Stegostoma tigrinum: one gene and its partners. The protein of the gene in region 2 interacts with the protein of the main gene of each other region in a biochemical or structural test. Links are inferred from orthologs where the notes say so. Each region holds a gene or a part of one and is shown on either strand. Other genes may lie near its edges. The genes, in order: klhl15, DNA endonuclease RBBP8-like and atm.

Evidence for each region.
Region 1: the proteins of DNA endonuclease RBBP8-like (region 2) and klhl15 form a complex in vitro, tested with the Homo sapiens proteins (2 studies listed by BioGRID, with this or other methods). The link is inferred for Stegostoma tigrinum from reciprocal best matches to the Homo sapiens genes RBBP8 and KLHL15.
Region 3: of the proteins of DNA endonuclease RBBP8-like (region 2) and atm, one has a biochemical effect on the other in vitro, tested with the Homo sapiens proteins (4 studies listed by BioGRID, with this or other methods). The link is inferred for Stegostoma tigrinum from reciprocal best matches to the Homo sapiens genes RBBP8 and ATM.

Annotation. Positions count from the first base shown.
Region 1 is NC_081365.1:61,183,600-61,190,905, forward strand, and holds the start of klhl15 (kelch-like protein 15), read right to left. Parts: upstream 3,029-7,306; 5' UTR 2,919-3,028; coding exon 2,913-2,918; intron 1-2,912. UniProt on the Homo sapiens protein: Substrate-specific adapter for CUL3 E3 ubiquitin-protein ligase complex.
Region 2 is NC_081358.1:19,880,558-19,888,082, forward strand, and holds the start of DNA endonuclease RBBP8-like, read right to left. Parts: upstream 3,013-7,525; 5' UTR 2,865-3,012; exon of another isoform or gene 2,740-2,864; intron 2,622-2,739; exon of another isoform or gene 2,490-2,621; intron 1,176-2,489; exon of another isoform or gene 1,158-1,175; intron 1-1,157. UniProt on the Homo sapiens protein: Endonuclease that cooperates with the MRE11-RAD50-NBN (MRN) complex in DNA-end resection, the first step of double-strand break (DSB) repair through the homologous recombination (HR) pathway.
Region 3 is NC_081359.1:70,469,698-70,477,424, reverse strand, and holds the start of atm (serine-protein kinase ATM), read right to left. Parts: upstream 3,029-7,727; 5' UTR 2,828-3,028; intron 2,722-2,827; exon of another isoform or gene 2,609-2,721; intron 1-2,608. Other genes in the region: protein NPAT, read left to right, coding at 3,297-3,333, 6,212-6,330.

The DNA of each region.
Region 1 (7,306 bases), on a different chromosome or scaffold from region 2:
ATTTGTCTTTCCAAAATTCAGCACCTCACATTTATCTAAATTAAACTCCATCTGCTACTCCTCGGTCAATTGGCCCATCTGATTTAGATCCTGCTGTATCCTGAAGTGACCAAGGAGACTTCAGAAAATTAAAGTCAATTCACATCAGGAAAACATCCCACCAGTTGCTGTCATGGTGAGTTGATTGTCCGCTGATGCTGGTTGTTTGCGTAACATTCAAATGCATTTACGACTCCTGAGATACTGAAACAGTTTATGCCTGCATGCAACAAAAATGTGGAAAACATTCAGACCTGGACTAGGTGTTATCAGCGACCCAAAACTTAACTAACCAATTACATAAGTATAATAGCAATTGGACCACATATGAAGCTAAGAGTTCATATCACATCAATGCCTGGGTAATATCAAGAATGCGACAGAATACACAGCATATGCCTGAATGAGTGCTACTCCAACAACATAAGAAGCTCTCTGCTTGATTGGCAATCCACTGCTGCCACCCTAAACATTCATCTCCTCTATCCTTGGCACACTGTGGTGGCAGTAGCTACTAGCTATAGTCCCTTGCCAATCACCCACCATTTACAAGAATAGGGACAACAGGTACTTAGAAACATCAGCATCTGCCAGCTTCATTTCAGGTCAGGGACCATCCTGACTTAGAACCATATTCTTGTTTTGTTACAGTCATTAGGTCAAAAACTCAGGGTGTTGCCATGACCCGAATTCTAAGTATACCATATCGGCTTCAGCAATTCAAGATGACAGCTCACCACTAAGCTCTCAAGGAATGGACAACAAATGCCTGCAACCCTTGCATGCCACAAAAGAATAAAAATGCTGCTTTGCATTTTATGCATGTTCAATAGAACTAGCTGCCCAGGGCAAAAAGCATGGAAAATTGGACTTTAAAGACACCAAGTGTGACACACAACAAAATTTACAGGATATTGCAATCTTAAGACTTGCAGTTCTAAATACTTTTCTAAACAATGGGTTCCTCGTCATCTAAAAGGGAAAACAAGCTATGATATACAAAATTTGCAAATATGGTTATTACCATGCCAAGTTGCACCTTTGATCAAAAAAATTAGAAATTACAACTCTGTATCTAATCTAAACCTTTGCTGCATTTCTAAAGAAAAAACAAAATTTTTGAATATATTAAATACATTACTTTTTCTTTGAAAGTCTTGTTATCCCAGTTAATATACTAGCAATTTTAACATAACTTCAACACAGAATCAGCGTTTTTACAGCAAGGAAAGAGGCCCACTATGTCCCCACCAGTCAACAAGCATCCATCTAGTCGAACCCACTTTCCAGCATTTTGGCACATAGCCTTGTATGCTATTGCATTTTGAGTGTTCAACAAAATTATTCTTTTATGTTTCAAAGGCTTCCACCTCTATCACTTCTCAGACAGTGAGTTCCAAATATCTCCAACACTCTGGTTGAATTATTTTTCCTACAAATACTCTCAAAAACACTTGATCTTACCTTAAAACAGTGCGCCCTGGTTATTGACCCCTTGAAGTGGTCAAGTTTCTCCCTATCTACCCTGTCTATGCCCCTCAGAACTTTGTGCACTGCAATCACATTTCCTCCTGAGTCTTATTTCCCTTTGCTCTAAGGGAAATAAAACCCTAGCTCATCTGGTATGCCTTAATTGTTGAACTGTTCCAACCCAGGCAACATCCTGGTGAAGCCCTTCTGCACCCTGTTGTGCAATTGCATCCTCCCCATAATGTGATGACTGGAACTGCAAGTAGTCTTCCAACTGTGGCCAAATTAATACTCTTGTTGTAACCTCTTTACTCTTACAGTCAATGCCTTCACTAACAAAGGCAAGTATTGTCAATGCCTTCTTCATCACTTTATGTACCTGTCCAGTTGCCAAGGATCTATGGGGATGCACATCACGATCTCGCTGATCTTTGTAGTTCCTACGGTTCTATTCCTTACTTTGTTAGTCCTGCCAAAATATATCACCTCACTTTCAGGATTAAATTCATTTGGCTGCTGTTTACCCCATCTAACCAGCTCATCTATATCATCCTGCAGTTTAAGGCTTTCCTCCTTCCCATTTGACACATAATTTTCATGTCATCTGCAAAGTTACTGATCTTACGTTCAACATTCATATCAAGATCATAAATGCACACAACAAACAGCAGGAAACCCAGTTCCAAACCCCACGATTCAACACAGGACACATGCTTCCTTCAATCATCAACCTCTGATTTCTACCACTAAGCTAATTTTGGATCCATTTTGCCAAATTGACCTGGATCCCAATAGGCTCTTTGCTTCTTAACCAGTGTGTCAAGTGAGATCTTGTCAAAAGCCTTAGTGAATCCACGCAGATTATAACAACTGCATTATCCTCACCGACACATCTCGTCATGTGCTCAAAACGTTCAAAAGAGAGTGACTATTTTTGATTAATCCTTGCATCTCCATTTGGAGATTAATTCTACCCCTCAAATGATGCCAATGATTTCCCTACCACGTATGTTAGACTCACTGGCCAGTAGTTTCCTGATTTACCCCGACCACCCTTCTTGAGTTGCGGTCCCATAATTAATGTCAGAGCCCAATGGAATCTCCTCCTTCGCCTGCCACTACAACTTTGGATCTACGTACAAAAACTTTATAAGTAAAAAGACTTGGAAGACCAATCGTAGTAACTTTCACTTGAAGATACGCGAAGCAAACTGAAGTATTTTTTTCTATGAATAAAGTCGAGTTTCTAACGCTAGGATTGTGTTGCATCCTCGGGCTCACGCTCCAGGCGACAGGTGCCTACAGGATAGGCGAAAAGAAGAAGGCAGTCTGGGAAGCTTAAAGTTGCGGCCCGTTGACCTGCCCTGAAGAGCATCAATTCCCAGTCGGTGCCTCACACTCACCAACATCAGTAGCAGCCACTCCGCATTCACAGTCCTTTTGAAAACAGCTCAGCAGGGGGACCCCGGCGCTCTTTCCTCCCTCAGCACTTGGCCGCCAACGGGGTTAGCGCCGTGTTTTCCACGTCTCCTCCCCCCCCCCAACCCACCCCCGAAGCTCGGCGTCAACTCCGACCGACCACCGCCATCTTCTCCTCCACCGGCCAGGGCCACCAACGTCACTTCCGCCAGACCCTTCAAAACTTCGGGGAACAGCTTCCGCGTAAGGGTCGTTCCCCCCTCCCCCCGGGATCTGGGGGCGGGGCTTGGAGTGTACGCCGTGCGCTGTGGGTTTTTGAGTCGGCGGAAGGTGGTGAGAGCGGGAGCTGATGTCGAAAGGGGCTGGCCCTGGTGCTGAGTGACTGGTTAAAGGCCGCCTTATGGGAGTTCAGGGTAATGCGGTGTATCGCGGGTCAAATTCTGACCTGAGCCCGGAAACTAATTCCCCGGGACTGGGGCGGCATGCCGCAGTGTCTGGTTGATCGAGTGGGCCTGCTGGTTCCATCTTTCCTTCCCCCCAAACCTGCCCTGGCCAACAACACCGGCCCTAGGGAAAGCCTCCAGTGTTCAGGGGTGTGTGAGTTACAGGGGGATGGACCTGGGTGGGATGTTTCAAGGGGCGGTGTGGACTTGTTGGGCCGAAGGGCCTATTTCCGCACTGTAGGGAATCTAATCTGATCTAATCAAACACCGAGCCTTCGGACACCGACACTTGCTGTCGAACTAGTATTTACTGTGCCTGTAAGGTGGTGGAACTTTCCTGGTGTGATTGACAGGGACGTTTTGCAAAATTCTGTCAAAAGGCCAAAGAAAGTATTGGACAAGAGTGGAGAGTTTCGAAGTAGAAGGGTTTGCAGAGGGATTTCCTTTGTTGGGTCCCACACAAGTGAAGACGTTACTCACACCGGCAGGGCCGTGAAAGTCTGCCTTGTTCAAAAAGACCAGAGTTGATTGAGTGCAAATATCCCAGAGAGTTGTGTTGGGCTGGGGGACACTTCATAGACAATGGAGGAAGATCACACAAGGGTTTGAAAAATAAGAAAGAAAAACTAAAATTAGGATCAAAACACGAATTGCTGCAAAAGCTCAGCAGATCTGGCAGCATCAGGGAGAAAAACCATTGAGTCAACGTTTCAGGTTGACTGACCCTTCTGACCTTTTTTCAGCAATTTCTGTCTTGAATCAAATTGAATCAGTTATTGTCACGTACGTTCAATGTCAAAGTACATGATTAGATTAGATTCCCTACAGTGTGGAAGCAGGCCCTTTGGCCCAACAAGCCCACACCGCCCCTTGATGCATCCCCCTATAACCCACACACCCCTGAACACTATGGGCAATTTAGCCTGGCCGATCCACCTAACTTACACATCTTTGGACTGTGAGAGGAAACTGGAGCACTCGGAGGAAACCCACGCAGACACGGGGAGAATGTGCAAACTCCACACAGACAGTTGCCCGAGGCTGGAATTGAACCCGGGTCCCTGGCGCTGTGAGGCTGCAATGCTAACCGCTGAGCCTTCGCCGTACGTACATGGCGCCGTTCACATTAACTTAGAATAAGCGAGGAAAAAAATAACCAAAGAGATCCCAACTTTCCACTGCCGCAGTCCCGCTCCGGGCTTTCCAGCCCCTGCCGTACCTCCGCCAGAGCCCCTGTCTGGGCTTTGCAGTTCTTTGGGATGTTATTTAAAATTAGGATTTTGCTTAACCTAGATCCACGGTATCAGCAATCACAGGGATGATAGTGGGCAGGACCTGGTGCTGGGGCAGTGACGTTTGGTCTAGTTTTATACCCTATAGTCTTATTTTCAGTATGTTAGGCCCTTCCGGTAGCAGGTGCCGATATGTTCAGTATTTTAATTTTGAAATATCTCTAAACCCCACAATTGTTGACAAAAACAGAAACTACCGGTGAAACTCAGCAGGCCTGGCAGATTCTGCCACTGAAATTCTGATGAAGATTCACCAGACTTGAAACATTTGCTCTGCTTTCCTCCCATGGATTTTGCCAGACCTACTGAGTTTTGCCAGCAATTTCTGATTTGTTTTAGATCTCCAGCATCTGCAGTTCTGTTTTATTTTACCCACAATTGTTTATATGCATTTAAGTGTATGATATCTTGCCACAGCTTGTGAGCTTGGTGTATGTGATTTGCAATATAACAGATAAACTCACAGCCTACTTTCCCATTTGGGTGTTGGAGCTACAGGAGTCCAGAGACTGCCAAACAGCCGTTTAAAGGGATTTACATTTGACTTCTCTGGGAGCTGCTTTTGCTACTGTATAATTATTGGAAGTATTACATAGGAAGAGCTGTCACAAATTGTTCAAGTTAAAAGTGACTGTAACCCCTCGACCAAAACTGTTCTACCTGTTATTCAGAGACAACTTTTGCTAACGCAAACTCAGAAGAAGCAGTGTCTTTGAGGTGGTTATATTCTTTGAAGAAAGAAATGGGCATGGCAAGAATATCCCTTTCAGAGCTTCAGTTTCTACGCCTCCAAATTCTTCTAGGTTAGAATCATAGAGTTCAGAAGGAGGCCATTTGGCCCATCAAGTCTGTACCAATCTCCTGAAGAGCATCCCACTCCATAACCCCATGTTTACCCTGGTTAATCCACTTAGTTGTGCATCCCTGAATACCTTGGGACAATTTAACACATCCAATCCACCTACTCGGTTTCCTCCTACTGTCCGAAATACAATGCAGACATGGGGAAAACATGCACACTTAACACACAGTCACCCAAGGCTGGAATCAAACCCAGGTCCCTGGTGCTCTGAGGCAGCAGTGCTAACCACTATGCCACCTTGCTGCCCTGTGCATGTTGGAGCCGGCTGCATTTCCAACACCTCACAATTCTTCATACGTTTCTCGGTCTGGGACATAACCAACGGCACTTACACAGGAGAAGATGCCTCATCATATTCTGCTGAAGCAGAGAGTAGCAAGGGAAGTGTACCTCTCTGATGAAGGGTCTAGGCCCGAAACGTCAGCTTTTGTGCTCCTGAGATGCTGCTTGGCCTGCTGTGTTCATCCAGCCTCACATTTTATTATCAAGGGAAGTGTACTTGTGACTTTGCAAGGGTAGAAGGAGTTCTAATAGTGCAAGGAGTCAGAGGCTGCACCTATTTTTTGTTGGTGCCCCAATAACCAGAGAGTTGTTCTGAAAGCAGAATGAGTTACACTCTCTTTATGTGTAGTTGGAATGTGACAATGAAAATTACAGCATGTTGATTAATTGTTCTGTCTCCTAGCAGCAGCCACGGTGCTTTTATCTTGCTTTTATCAGCTGTTCTGACCATGGGGATGGTCCTGGGTGGGATGCTTCGAGGGGCGGTGTGGACTTGTTGGGCCGAAAGGCCTGTTTCCACACTGTAGGGAATCTATTCTAATCTAATCTAAGGTGAACCTGAGGATGACTGCTTGGTGGCAAGGGCTAACCTTTCTACGCTTGGTTCTGTCTGGCCACAGGGTACAATGAGAACCATGCGGCAGCTGCGGTCCATGGGTTCCTTTCTTTTAAAGTTGTACAAATGTGACATATTTGGGAGGGGGTATGGAATACAGTTACAAGACATTTTATTGAACTTTTATCGACAACTAATAAAGGTACTTACAATTATAGCACAAAACTGTTTAATCATGGTATCGAATTGAATTGAATTGTCACGTATTCGATGGAAAAATGCAGTGAAAAGTGTGTACCTACACCGTACATACATGGCGCCATTCACCTGAACTCAGAACAAGACAAGAATAAAAAAGATAACTTAAGGGAGTCCCAACTTTCCCTTGCACTGCCGCAGACCCACTTAGGCCTTTCCAGCCCTCTCCAGGCCTCCGCCAGCAGCCCAAACTGGGCTGCCTCATTGGCCCGCTCTCACCAGCCCAGTCTTGGGCTGCCGCTATCGCTCTGGCCCATGCTCGATTCTCTGTCGCCGCAGGACATAACTAACACATTCATTTCCCGCCACGTGGTTCTCAGTCGTGACCCAGCTCCTTCCCAACTCCTTAGGTAGGCAGTTAAAACGGGTGGCGGGGGAATAGAATTACTACCAGAGGGAGAGAGAAGGGAGGAAAAAAAAGGATGGACAAAGAAACAGAACTGGCGAGCAGAGTGAAGCTCTGAATGGAGCGACTGACCCTGCTGCCATCGTTGAATTAATGGTTTGGAACTTTCGGAGAAATTCTGCTATGAAGCAACTTATGTAGCTGAGTTCTGAGGAAGGGTCACCGGACCTGAAACATTAACTCGGTTTTCTCTTTCACAGATGCTGCCAGACCTGCTGTGTTTTTCCAGCAACTTTGTTTTTGTTCCCTGTTTATAGCATCCGCAGGTCTTTTGGTTTT
Region 2 (7,525 bases):
TGCATGGGACAGACAGATTTTCAAAAATTACCTCACAAAACAGTTCACAGAATAGTTTTATGCTGTAGCATAGATGTGGAAAGCAGCAAAATGTCTAACAGCAAGGAAGCAGTGTAAGTGGAGGTGTTGCTTCTGTTAACCATGAATTATTTGCTCATGGAGCAGACCGGGTTGACTGAGGTCCCTGTGCCACGAGTGCTGGATCTACCCTCTGTCAAGGGCCACGTGTCTGCTGATAATGCAATGGCATTCCCATGTTAAAAGATGTCCTACACAGGGCATCTATCTAGGACACACAGACAAACCTCCGCGATCGGTGAGACACGATGGGGACAGGACTGAGAAATCTTGAAGTTCCCAGCTTCAGACGGCACAGTCCGACATATGGGCCAGGAATAGAAGGGCATTTTGGCAGTTTTCTTCACAAGTGAGCAGCTCTGTTCGCATTTATTTTGCTCACCCTGCGTAGAGGGGGGGCTAGATAAAGTGCCTGAAACATAGTTTGCTTCATCATCAACCCGGCTGGAAAACGACATCCAGTGGGTTCATCTACCTGCAGCCTGAAGAACCAAAGTCAACTTCAATCTTGGAATCTGGAATGTATGAACGGCACTTCAACATTGATATTGCTGCCCTGCAGGAAATTCAAAAAGCAGGTGAAGGGCAGCTGACAGAAAAGGTTACAGCTTCTTCTGGAAAGGAAACCCAAGGATCAATGCAGGACACATGGAATTGGATTCACAATCAAGTACGACTTGTCAATCAACTCTAAGAGCTCACCGTTGGCATCAATCACCTCATGACTGTCTCCAACTTGCCAAGAACTAGCAAGCAACTGAGTGTCTCTACTCCAAACCTTGATGCCATAGAGGAATCTAAAGGCAGGTTCTACTCTACCCTGAACACCATACTCAGCAACATCTAAAAGGAATATTAAGTTACTTTGCTTGGAGACTTCAATACCAGAATTGTAAAAAGGACCCTGAGCTCTGGAAAGAGACCACTCAAAAAGGAAGAAGTCGAGGAGTGCCATTCCAGGGGGACTCTCCGACTCATTAAAAATGCAGAACACCAGCTGTTATTCATCAATGCACTGTTCCTCCAAAAAGACAATTTCGAAGCCTCTTGAAGGATACGCAATTAAAGTGCTGGCTTACGATCGACTATGGTCTTGGGACTGAATGATGACAACGGGACATCGTCATTACCAAGCTGATGATTGGTCCTTCAAGCAGCCATCTGCACCACCGGCTTATACATTCCTCCACATCCATCATAAGCCACCAGAAAACAGCTGAAGACAAAGAAACAGTTTATTAAAATATTTAACATTGTAAGCCTTCAACAGCCAAACAGACTAGCAAATTTCCAATAATGTCTTCAACAAAAATCACCAAAGAGCTCATTTCAATGGAATTGTGGAAATCTAGAAAGAGCTGAAGACAGCTATCACCTCATGTTGTGAAATAAACTATCGGCTGCAAGATCAGGAAACGTCAAGAATAGTTTGATGAGAGTAACCACATCATCCAAGATCTCATCATCAAGGGGTAAGCTCTCTATGCCTGGCAAAACATCACCAGCAAGGCAAAGAAGGGATCTCAAACAGCAAAAGACAGAATTACAAAGAACCACCAATGGAGGATTGAGAAAGCTAAGTAAATGCAACTCCTTGCTGACAAGCACAGCACCCAGGTTTCTTCAGTGCCACTACAACAATGTAATGACTGTACACCAAGGTGTCAAACTGCTACGAAGTACAGATGGAACACTTCTGAGACACAAAATACATAAGCCTCCGACAGACAGAATAGTTCAAAGAACATATAAACTTCGATACAATCAAGGAGGATGTGTTTGAGGAAATCCCACAAACTCCCCAAAGACGGTCCTGGACTCCCACCTAATGTGGAAGAAATTAAAGTGGTCATGAGACATATGAAGAATGGAAAAGCTGCAGTAGTAGATGGGATTCGAACAGAATTTTTTGACTTGGGAGGGGCAGAGCTTACCTGTCATCTCCATCAAAAATCTGGGACAAAGAAGAAACCCCTGCCAATCGTAGCGATGCTGCCATCACTACTGTGTTCAAGAACAGAGGCAAAGTGAGTCCATTGTGGAAACTACCAAAGATTGCTTGCTGTATAGAAGTAGCCTCATTAGAACACTGGTGGCAAAGCAGAAATCACAGCTGCATGATCTAATGCAGAGCACTGCCTCCCTGCAATGTTCATTCTGATGGAACAAAATTTTACTCCAAAACAAAACCACTAAGTAGCACACATTTTTGAGCATCATGCTTATAGATGCACGTTCCGCAATAAAACCAGTAATGCAATGCAGTTAGATTGCACTTGACTTTACAAATTGAATTCATCCTCCAAAAATAAACCCAGGCTTTCAATATTGCTCTAAACACTTCAGCTGAGCACTGGAGGAAAGTGCAAACGGCGACAATAAACGTGGATCTTATGAAATCAAGTACGAACGTCTTGCCTGAATCCTAGGCCCCGCTGCAGCAACTCATTGGGCCAGCCGTGGCACGATGGACTGAATGGCCGCCTCCCGCACCAGGACAGTTCTGAGGCGTCCGGTGAGGACCGGCAGCACTCACGGTAAACCTGAAGAATGTACCAGACCACCGATTAGACACCGATGTAAACACACCGTAAAGGAGCTTATTGGAAAAGCTATCTGCGTGTTCCCACCCCTCACTCTCTTCATTCCTGATTCACTCACTTATTGCCTCCGTTTTAACCAGCAACTTCTCCACCTTTTCCCTTCTCCAGGTTTTCTGGAGAATTCTAGGCCGCCCTCTCCTGTATCCGCCCCCGTATTCTCACACTCACGACAGTGCTCGTCACCTCAGTCTCGCCGCACAGGAGAGGAACTCGGCCGTCACTGAGCGAGCGACTCCGCAGCTCGAGCCAGGATCAACTCCCGATTCAAACACAAACTTCGAAATGACGCGGGAATAAGCCCAACGGCAGGCTGCGCTGCCGGAAATGGGTGGGGGGGAAAAAAATCCCCGTGAGTGACATCGATCTCAACCATTGCGAAGAAGCAGTGGGCGCGGTTCCACCCATTTAGGGCGCCGCCCGTCCGTACGGAAAACGCCGCACGTCGACGTGGCCCCGCCCCAATGGCAGGGAGCTGTCAATCAATAAGGACCAGCACGTGACTGAAGTCACCGCCCGTCGGTAGGAAAGGCAACGCCCCGCTATAAGGCCCCGCCAATTAGTGTGGGGTGATCAGCCCATCGAGAGGCCCGCCCACATGCCCGGCTTATTTGGAATTGACCCCGCCTATCTGCTGGGTCCCCGCCCCAATATGGGAGGGCCCGCCTATCAGAGCTTGACAAATGGTCAACCCTCCTTCCAACATCAGATTATCTAACGTAGTCAAACATGTTCTGGAAACGTTATGCTAGTCCAAGGCCGATCGAATGTTACATAACGTTGTATAAACAAAATGATATCGAAAATGACTGGAATTTTTAAACAAATTAAAAATAAGGTGGTACGGGAGACAAACTAAATGACTGGAACAGCATGAGAGGTGTAAGAATCGCACGCCAATGGTCTGACCAAAGTAATAAGTAAATCAAAACTGAACAAACTAATCAAGGTAGAGCGATCATAATAAGTTATTAAGGTGATGGTGTCAAAACAGCACAGTAAGGAAGGTTTTTACAGATGCTGAGCTGTGTGATGGGGTCGCATGTGACACAACATGAACCCAAGATCACAGTTGACGTTGTCTTCATGGGTACAGACCTTGGCTATCAGTTTCAGCTTGGCTTATTTTTAATGTTTTGAAATTATCTCTCCACCCCATTTAATCAGGTTTTGGGTTATCCTTTCACTTGCTATTCAGCAGTTGGCACTTCACTCCTGTCACCCAACACTCATGGTCTCCTGCAGGACCTCTTACTCAAAACTTCACGCATACCAGTTGTATGATCTTTTGATCTCTCTGCCCTTGATGCATCTGCCTATAAATTCTGTGTTTGCGTGCTCTTCTCTCCCACTTCTGATGAAGTGGCTGAGCTTTGAAAGTTTGTGATTTCAAACAAACCTGTTGTACTGTAACCTAGTGTTGTGTGACTCTTGATTTTCTCCAACCCAGTCTAACACGAGCACTTGCACAACTTGGAGAAATTTGCAGTTCTGTAAAATCAAAGCTGAATCAGCACCACCTCCTGGCGAAAACTAGTTATAACATCATGCATCAACTCACAACTTGACATGGTTTTCTCTTTCCTCGTAATTAGTGTATTTCTATGGAAATGATTAATAATCCTCAACAACAAATGACTGTAGCAAAAACCATATTTTACTAAATAGAAAATCTTGGCAGATAGATAACTACATTCCTATTCAAATTTCAGTTTGTTTAAGCAAATGAATTCAAAGAAAAAAGGAAATTACTTCAATTTCTATAATATCTTTCACAACATCAGAAGTCACATGACAGCAGGTATAGGCCAACAGGTTTATTTGGAATCCCACATGTTTTTGGAGCTCGGCCTCTTCGTCAGGTGCAGTCTGATGACCCGATGTAGTGTGACTTCTGACGTTGCCCACCCCTCTCCAACACCAGCACCTCCACATCATGGGTTCCATCTTTCGCAACATCATCCCAATTCCATTTTACAGCCAACTGAGCACTTTTGAAGCATAGAAATGTAATGAACGTTGCACACAATTTGAACACAGCAATTTCCCGAAGCAAAATGATAACCTTTCCCATTATTACATGTTGGTTTAAGAGGTAACCGCTAGCCAGTATATAAAATCTGCTGTTTTTTGAAATAACAATGTGGAATATTTTAAGCTCGCTCATAATGATAGACAAGGACTAATTTTAACACCTTATCTGTAACACAGATCTCTAAAAGTGCACCAACCCTTCATTTCTGTTATGAAAGCTTAGCCAAGGGCTCTGACTAACTCTCTGGTACAGCCTATGATTCCACAGCCGAGTATGATAAGATTTGAACCATGGGAGACACAAATGTAAATGCGAATATTTGCTGACAGGTCCCTAACTCAACAGCTGATGAAGTAAAAGAAAACAAAATTAGAATGTGTTCCTTGTGCTTTGAAGCAACCTCATATTAATCTGAGATGGAAAGTTGTAATTAGGTAGCAGTGTAGATCAATAAAATCAATTATCATTGTGTTACAGTAAACAGTCCTGCAGAGTAGACTCTGACATGAGATGATGGTTTGTTTGGCAGCTGTAGGACAGTTGTTCATTGTGATGGCGGCATATTTAAAAGTGAGGACTGCTATGTAACTCATACATAAAGCGGAGTAAATTATGCAGTTATGTTAATCTGCTATCCAAAGCCCTTATTGGACCAGGATATTGGACATTACATGTTAGAAAAAATATGTTGGACTACATCCTTTCTCTCAGGAAAATTGAAGTGACCTGATGGATGTGAGGCAATGAGTGATATTACTACGAGATAATTAATCCAGAAACACAGCTAATGTACTGAAGAACAGGTTCAGATCCTACCACGGCAGACAGCAGAATTTGAATGTTATAAACAAAAACCTGAAACTTTAAGAATCTTTTGATGTCTATGAACCCACTGCCAATTGTTGAAAAATAACCCGTCTGGCTCAGTAATCACATTCAGGGAAGGAATTCTGTCATTCTCACCTGGTCTGGCCTACTTGTGACTCCAGAACTGTGGAAATGTGGTTGACTCTCAACTGCCCTCTGAAATGGCCTAACAAGCCACTCGGTTGTAACAATTGTTATGAATTCTCAACCATGAAGTAAAAAGGGACGGGCCATCTGGCACTGGCCCAGGCACCGATAACAGCAAAACCAAGCCTTAGTGCCACTGCAAAGTTCCAATGACTAACAGCTGGGACAAGTACCAAAAGTGGGAGAGCTGTCTCACAAACTAGTCAAGCAACAGCCTGACATAGTCATATGTGGTAAATGTCCCAGGCAATATCATCACATATGTCCTGTTTCACCAGCAGGACAGACCCAACAGAGGTGGTGGCGCAGTGGTATACAGTTGGGATAGAGTTGACCTCGGAGCCCTCAACATTGACTCTGGATATCATGAAGTCTTAGGGCAGCAGGTAAAACATGGGCAAGGAAACTTGCAGCTAGTTACCACATACTGCCCTCCGTCACTAAGGATTCAGCAGCAACACTACTGATTGAGCTGGTCACATCCAAAATAATGTAACTGCTAGAATGAGTCTGCCACAGGTGGTGAGGGAAAAGATACATGACGTCATTCTTTCCGATCGATTGGCTGCAAATGCATCTGTCCATGACAGTATTGGTAAGACTGACCACCACATAGTCCTATGAGGTCCTGCTTACCCTCTATCATGTTGTGTGGCATTATCACTGTTATAAGTGGGACCAGTCTGGCAACTTAAGACTGGGCACCTTTGAGAATATGTGGGCCATCAACAGCAAAATAATTGTATTCCAGCATAATCTGCAATCTTATGGCTTGGCATATGCCCCACTCAATCATTAGCATTCAGCCAGGGTATCAACCCTGGCTCAATGGAGAGTGTAGGAAGCCATGACAAGAGCAACACCAGGCATACCTAAAAATGAGGTGTCAACCTGGTGAACCTACCAAACAGGATTATATGCAGGCCGGACTATATTAGCAGCAAATGAGGTAAGCCGTCCCACAACAGATGGACCAGATCTAAGCTCGGCAGTCCACCAATGATGATGGTGAATTAAAAACTGACTGGAGGAGGAGACTCCACAAATATTCCCATCCTTAATGATGGAAGACACCAGTTCATCAGTGCAAGAGATAAGGCTAAAACAATTGCAGCAATCTTCAGCCAGCAGTGCTGAGTGGATGATCCATCTCAGCCTCCTCTTGGGGTCCACATCAGCGCAGATACTAGTCTTCAGCCAATTCACTTCACTCCACATAATATCAAGAAACAGTTGGAGGCACTGGATACTGCAAAGGCTTCAGGCCTTGATAACGTTCCGGCTATAATACTTGTGCTCTAAAATTAACACTTCCCTACTTAGCTCTTCAAGTACAGCTACAACATTGGCACCGACCTGAAAATGTAGAAAAGTGTGCAGATGTGTATGGTACACAAAAAGCAGATCAAATTCAACCAGCCAATTACCATCCCATTAACCTACTTTTGATCATCAGTAAAGCAACGGAAAGTATCACTCATAGTACCATCAAGCAGCATCTGCTCAGTGACACACTGTTTGAGTTCCACCAGGGCCACTCAGTTCCTGCCCTCATTACAAGATTGGTTCAAACATGGACAAAAGAGCTGAATTCCAGAGGTGAACGGAGAGTGACAGCCCTTGACATCAAGGCTGCATTTGGTGGAGTGTGGTATCAAGGAGCTGTAGCAAAGCTTAAATCAATCGGCAAATTTTCCACTGTTTGCAGTCAGACCTGACGCTTGGGAAGACAGCTGTTGTTGTTGGAAGGTCAGGCATCTCAGCTACAGGGATCCTAAATAGACGCTTCCTGACTTTA
Region 3 (7,727 bases), on a different chromosome or scaffold from region 2:
CTAGAAAATATATTGGTCCCTTTCTGATTCAGGTGGAATCTGACTCTCTTATTGTGGTTATTTCAATCCCTGAAGAGATCCCAAATGGTCCAAAAATGTGAATCTTTGTTTCCTGCACTAGTTCCTCAGCCACACATTAATCTATCCTATCCTCCTATTCCTACTTTCATTAGTACGTGGCACCAGTAGTAGCCCAGATATTACTATTCTGAAGGACCTACTTTTTAAAACTTCTACTAGTTTCCTCTGCAGTTCTATTCTATATTATTTCTGCAGAATCTCATCCTCTTCCCTACCAATGTTGTTGCTACTAAAATGCACAATGACTCCTGCTTATCACTCTCCCCTTTTAGAATATTCTGCACTGTCTCTGAGACATCTTGACCCTGACACCAGGAAGGTAACATTCAATCCTGACGTCTTGCTGAAAGACTGTCTGAGCCCCAGACTAAAGTACCCGTTACTTGAAGCTTGACATACCCCTCTATACACCACAGCCAGTCACTGTACCAGAAACCTAGCTGTCAGTACTATACTCCCCTAAGAAGACACCTCCCCACTACCATATCCAAAATGGCATACCTGTTTGAGCTGGGAGTAGCCATAGGAGACTCCTGCTATCTCTCCTACCATTCCTAGTAGTCAACCATCTTCCTAACTGTATCTGCAGTGTGTCCAACTTCCTGAAACTGCCATCCATGTACCTGTGAACTCCTCATTGACTCTAAGTCCTTCGTCTTTCTTAGTTTGGCAGCAAGTGTTTTATACAATGGCATCTGGCAATCTTGGTTGGTAAATTTGCAATAGACATACATGATCTGAGAGATAAGTGCACTTCATTAGAAATTTGCTAATGTCTTGGTCATTGTTGTTCAGCCAGTCTTCTTCCTTCTGTTTAACAAATGGAACTCAGAAATTGTGCCTCAAGTAAAATCCATTAATTCTTTCTGAGAATCTTCAGTGATATACTTCAGAATATCAGTAATCTCTACTGCTAGTTTTGTGTTTCTATTCTTGTCTTTTGGCCATATCCTCCTCGCTACAGCGTTCATTGGCCTGAACAAGACTGTTGACAAAATAAAACTGGGAAGATTTATGGAAGGTTCAATACAAATATGGCTGTAAAAAGATGACCAATGTCATTCACTGGTTTTACAATGGCATGATCCAAATGAGTATGGCATCTAATGCCTTTCTTGTCATCAAAATCACCAAGCAAGGTATTGACTCCAACTCTCTGTATATACTGCTCAGCCACGCTGCAGGACACACTCAAAGATTCTGACACAGAAGTACACATTCAATTCAGGGCAGACTGTAATGCCATCAACTTGCAAAGACTCCAGGTTTACACAAAGGTTGCTAAACTCTACAAAACAAAACCTTTTAGTGCTTAGGTACATGTGACAACAATAAATAGCTGCCAGGCATACACTTGTTAGCAGATGACTATGCTCTCAGAAGACATTCAGTTGCTTGTTAATCACTTGCACTAGCTTCAGAACACTTTGGCTTGATGCCAAGTCTGAAGAAATCATTTTGCCTCAAGTCACCACTAGCCACAAACTCCAAATTACTATTGCATCACTACCAACATTGTCCTCTGTTCAGTACAAATCTTTTACTTTTCTGGGAGTATCCATTCCAATAACACTATGCTTGAAGACAAAATCAATCAATGCTTTGTCAAAGCAAGTTTAGTGCCTGTAGAACTCAGCATGGGGTGGGGGACATGGCAAAAGACACCTCTTCTCCCCTTTCCTACCATTATTCTCTTGTACGAAGAGTCATCTTGATCTCAAAACATTAATGTCATTTCTCTTTTCACAGATGTTGTCAAAGTTGCTGAGTTTTTCTGGTTGTTTTCATTTCAGACTTCCAGCATCCATGGTATACGACTTTTCACCTGTGGCCTGGGATCCAGCACTGATCCGACCCTGAGTGTTTGTCAGGCGGACAGGAGCCTCTGCCTCCCAGTGATTCTGCGGGTCAAAAGGGTTAGCAGCCTCGGGATCCTTGACCCCATGGAATGCTGTTCTTTTCCAGTTAAGGTTTTAAGTGGCACTGAGTATGGTGAGCCTCCCGTAAAACAGGCAACACGTGGTTCTCACCAGCTCAGAACCCCTTCCTTCCACCATCTCCATTAAATGTTGCCTGAGTCAGTCTCTGGCTTGTGAATAAAAACCGAAAGAGCTGCAGATGCTGTAAATTAGGAACACAAACAAAGTTGCTGGAAAAGCCCAGCAGGTCTGGCAGCATCTTTGAAGGAAAAAGAAATCAGAGTTAACGTTTCCGGTCCGGTGGACCCTTCCTGAGAACTTCACAGTCGCTGCCAGATCTGCTGGGCTTTTCCAGCAACTTTGTTTTTGTTCTGGCTTGTGAATGACTGGTCGCTTGGGGAGGGCACCGAATGCCTCGGGAGTTTTCGTCAGGAATGTGCAGAAGTGAAGTCAGACGGTGGTCACAAACCTCCATCTGTCTCACCGAGCAAAGGCCGGCTCACCACTGACCCTTTTCTGATGAAGGGTCTAGGCCGGAAACGTCAGCTTTTGTGTTCCTAAGATTGCTGCTTGGCCTGCTGTGTTCGTCCAGCCTCACACTTTGTTACCTTGCCCAGTATGGCAGAGCCTGCAGATGGGACCTATCAGTCATACAGGACCCACGCAATGATCCAGACAGGCTGGCGGACAATGTTTCCGTATAATCAGCGTCTATGCTGACCTTCCGCTTGGCGGGAAACACTCATCACATCCCAGCGAATCAAACTGCGTGAGTCGGCGATAATGGATAAGAGGATACGCCAGGATTGGTTTATTTAGAAAATCACCTCTAAGCCGCCAAACATCGTGCCATGTCCGCAGCACGGTCAAGCAACATCCTTGTACCAGAACTCACAGTAATAAAAATCCGCACACCACTCTGGGTCCGAATCAAACTTCATTTAAACTCGAGCCCAGGCCATGAGTTCGTTGCAGAGAAGTCGCCGCTGAAACGTTGAACCGATCTACAAATTGACCTCCACCCCGCCTCCTCCATCAATCCATACGCGTGCGCGGAAGCCATGCGGCTGTCGGGGCTTGTAGTCCACTCGTTTCATTAAACTACAACTCCCACATTGCAATCTACCTGTCGCCTCACTTCCGCCGGACGCTGGTGCGGGATAAGGGCTGCGTTGTTTTTACGCGCCATTTTCAGCTGGAGGACCGGCATCTAATGTGGTTGAGCGGCGAACGGCGAGGGAAGGTCGGCCGCTCCTCACGGCTCCCTCCTCATTTCCAGGGGCTGATTCGGTGAACATGCTGCTGCCGTCAGACGTAGCGCGGCTTGTCTTGGGTAGGTGGGTTGGACACTCGGTCCAGTGGGCCATCTGTGTCCCTGGGGCGGTGCTGGGCCGCTGATTGGGAAGGCGTTAGAACCGGCGGCGGGCAGTACTGTATTTTGCAGCTTCAAGTGGGTGGGATATCACTCGCTCCATCTAGAGATACCTATTGTCGAAGGCCGTTTAATTAGCAACCTTTAGTGGTAACTTACTCAAAGTTTCTGTTGTACAGTTGAATCGCAGCCAGTACTACACTGGGTCTGCCACCGTGGGTTAATTATATTTGCGAGTGTCTGGTTCTCCGACTGGATATTTATTCACTTTTTCCTTTTGCCTCAACTCAGTGTCATCTGTGCTTGACAGCTTCAGCTATCTCTGACATTGTGTTGACATTGCTTCATGTGACTTTAGAACGTGAATGTGGTTGTTCTTAATCTGCCTCAGCAGACATTTTACATCAATTGCAAAGAATGGACAGCAACATCGTGACTGCTATTTATTTTTAATGCGGATATTGTGTGTGAATAACACCCTAAGGCTTGGAATAAATTATTTTGTTTTTGTATGCTAATTTTCTACCTAGTAGAAAGATAGAATACTTACAATGAATCCTGCACAAAAAATTTCAAACCATCATCCTTCCCATTCCATTAATGAATCACACTGGCTGCTTACAAGTTAGTTTTATCCTAGGATGCTGTGGAGCTGCTGGAATCAGTTATCAAGTTATTGATTCTACAATTTGGCTGTGTTCACTTGATGTCTGTTTTTCCTTGCTCTGAAGCTGTCTTCTTTCATGAAAAAAATTCAGCTTCCATTCAATGTGAAATATTTAAACCCAAAATGGTGATTATTAATTGGCCTTGAAAATTAATTGGTAATCATTCCATTAGGCAGATGTCAGACACTCTTCATGATTGATGTGGTAAACAGCGTAGTTGCTAAAACATATAAGGTAGTACCTCATCCCCGATCATAGTCTGAAAGTATAACTAATGCAAATAGCTGTATGTTTATAGTTGACTCATTACAAAGGAAAAATGCACACTTGTTATTGTCCTTTAAATACAGTATACAAAAGAAACAATTCATGTTAATTTCTTCTGTAAATGCAGGATTTTGAGGATTTATATTGTGAAGTGCTTGGAATGTAGTTACTACTATAACCCAAGCTATGTATCAAACAATGTGCGTGCTCAAGTCCTGGAAATGATGAACAGTGTTTTTAATGATATTAGCTGAAATATAAATATTAGTATCTTTTATGTTCAAGTAAGAGGGTAGGTGGAACTTCCATTTAACATCTCATTGGAAATTTGGCAACTTGGAAAAAGATAGTACTCCTATAGCTCTAGAAAGAAGTACCAGCCTAGATTGTACACTTATGTCTCTGGAATAGGACTTGAACCAGAATTTTCTGACTTGTAGGTGTACGATTGTTCTACCACTGAGTTAATGCTTTTATAGTTGCTGATCTAGACTCATGCACCAAGATAGACATGTTAAATTTCTGTGTATGTTATTGAAACTAAATAAAGGCTTCGAATTGTTTATTGAAGAACGAATAAAATGGGTCAGAATTGTGTAGCCTACTCTCAACCATTTATGTTTTTAATGATCAAAACTAGAGCACAGCAGAAGAAATTGATGTATATTTTTATATTTTAATATACAGTAGATTGTTCATTCTTAGGATAACTGAAACAAGTTGCCCTTCACCAGTGTGCTATGAGTTAAGTAGAACAATAAGTATCATTACATGGCTAAATGTTTTTCTCAGGTCACACAGATGGAATACAAAAATGTTGTGCTTATTTAAATGCTTATAGGAAAGAAAGTGAAGGAGTAGCCTTTTATTTGAGTGATATGTGGATAATTTACATAAAGGGCTTACGAAATGTACTTAAAATGAATGATAATGGCACATTGTCCAGTGAATTAATGCAGCCCTGTAAAATGATGATTTCTGTTGTAATGCATAGCAGTATAGCTCACAATCAAGATTTGTTTAATGTAGAATTTTAATCCTCAACATCCAGAAGTGAGTTTCTCAAATCTCTAGCATCACGCAAATATGTTATGTAACTATCAGTTATTAAGTCTTGCCTAGGCTTGGGATATGGCGAGCAAGGCAGAGATGGGATAGTTGTTGGAGGAGTCGTGGGGTCATGATGGAATTGCAGCAGTTAGTAACAGCTTGCTGTCAAGCAGCCAGACGTTTCCTCCTTCAGAAAGCCTAGCATCATTGCAAATCATTATTTACTTTAATGGAAGTATTTGTCCCCATATCTCAAATTTGACATCCCATGTAACTCATCAGTTGCATACATAACGTGATACATGATGACACAATCATACCAACTGCTGTACTCCGTCTGAATGTTGTCCACCTGATCTACCAAACAAGTGTTCCAGTGTGTGATACATAAGGAATGATACTTTTTTCCCTTGTTTGAAAAACAGATATTTGTCTGCTAATGCTTGCCGCACTAAACAAGCACATTTGCTGAAGCTTATCACAATTTGCAAAAGGGGAATTTCCCTACAAAGCAAAATCATGGCTGAAAAACCTGTGATTTTTGGTTAAGATTCTGAACTTCCTTTGCATCTGTTTATGGTAAAAGCCTATGTTTAATTCTTTGATAACATGGTGTAGAGCTGGATGAACACAGCAGGCCAAGCAGCATCAAAGTCTTCTTACTCCTCTGCTGCCTGGCCTGCTATGTTCATCCAGCTCTACACTTTGTCATCTCAGATTCTTCAGCATCTGCAGTTCCTCCTATCTCTGCTTAATTCTTCAACTGCTAAAATGTTTGCAGCAGCTTATATTTTAAAATGTCACTTCCTGCATTGGCCAATGACAAGCTGAACTTTATTATGTTTTTCTTACAGGATACCTGCAGCAAGAAAAGCTTTCTAATACTTGCAGAACCTTTATATTGGAAAGTGGAGATCTAAAGGAGTATGCCGAACACAGTACCGAGGATGGGGTGGTGCCTGCTTGTTTGCTGGTATGGATTGCATGCATAATTTCTCTGCGTTATAAGTATTGGTGGGATTGAAAGGCCCATTAAGGACCTCCAAGCAGAGCTCCCATGTGATAAATCAGAAGACTAGATTTTACAATACCACATTTTTTTAAAAAAGGGTTGAAGCAGGCCTCAACACAATCCTCAGATGGATAAAGATTCAGTTTTTGTTGCTTGGGCCCATGTGTTCAAGCAGGATGTGTCTGTGATGAATGTGTAAAGCTAACCTGTGCCTTTTATCTCGGTGGGAAAATTCTTGATGTGTGCAGACAGCCTAAGTTGAAAATTGCAGCTTTTCAAGGGTGCATTTTGCTACATTGTCACCATTTAAAGGTTCACTCTGTGAAGAATTAGTATCCTTATAAGTCATTAATTTTTCCCAGTTTGAACCTGTGCCCTCTTTATTTTTGAATTAATATTCTAAACTCTTCCACTTTCTTACGATCTCCTGCTTCTAAAGATCCACTTTCACACATTCCTTTTTCAAGTTTAAAAACCCAAGATTCCCATGTTTCATCTTTCAAGATCTCATTCTGTACTCCATCTCATGCTGTTTCAGTTTCTTCTTTCATTATCAATGATCAGGGCCGGATATAGAACTTGAGACACTATAAGGCAGAGTACAGTTTGGCCATTCCTCCTCCTCTTGATCTATGTTCTCCTTTTTTGCCAAAAATGAGCGATTGTCTATCTGCTTTGTTGATTGCTGTTCTTTGGTTGATCTGTTAAGACAACTAGGTCGTTTTCAGTTTATTGGTATTTCACCACTGTTTGGAGTATGTGTTGCACTTGTCCTTCAATGAGCTATACTTGACTAAAAAAGGATTGAAATATCATACAGGCGTGTTATTGCCCTACTTATTTTATTTGAGATTTTTTTTTGATTCTGTCATCCTTCTCGTATGTTCACCTTTATCGCAAAAAGATTTGATTACAAAAGCTAAGAAGTCATACTTCAAATGCATTGAATTCTGATGAGGCCGAATCTACAACATTGTATGCCATATCTTACCTAACCAAAGATCTACTAGCTGTAGAAGGAGTGCAGCAGATGATCACCTGTCTTAAGTCTTAGGGTTGAGAGGTGACTTAATTGAAACATATAAAATAATCAGAGGGTTAGATAGGCTCTCCCTATCCACCCTTTTTCCTAGGATGGTGACGGCGAGCACGAGGGGGCATAGCTTTAAATTGAGGGGTGAGAGATATAGGACAGATGTCAGAGGTAGTTTCTTTACTCAGTAGTAAGGGAATGGAACGCTTTGCCTGCAATGGTATGTGGATTCGCCAACTTTAGGTACATTTAAGTCGTCATTGGATAAGCATATGGACGTACATGGAATAGTGTAGGTTAGATGGGCTTCAGATCGGTATGACAG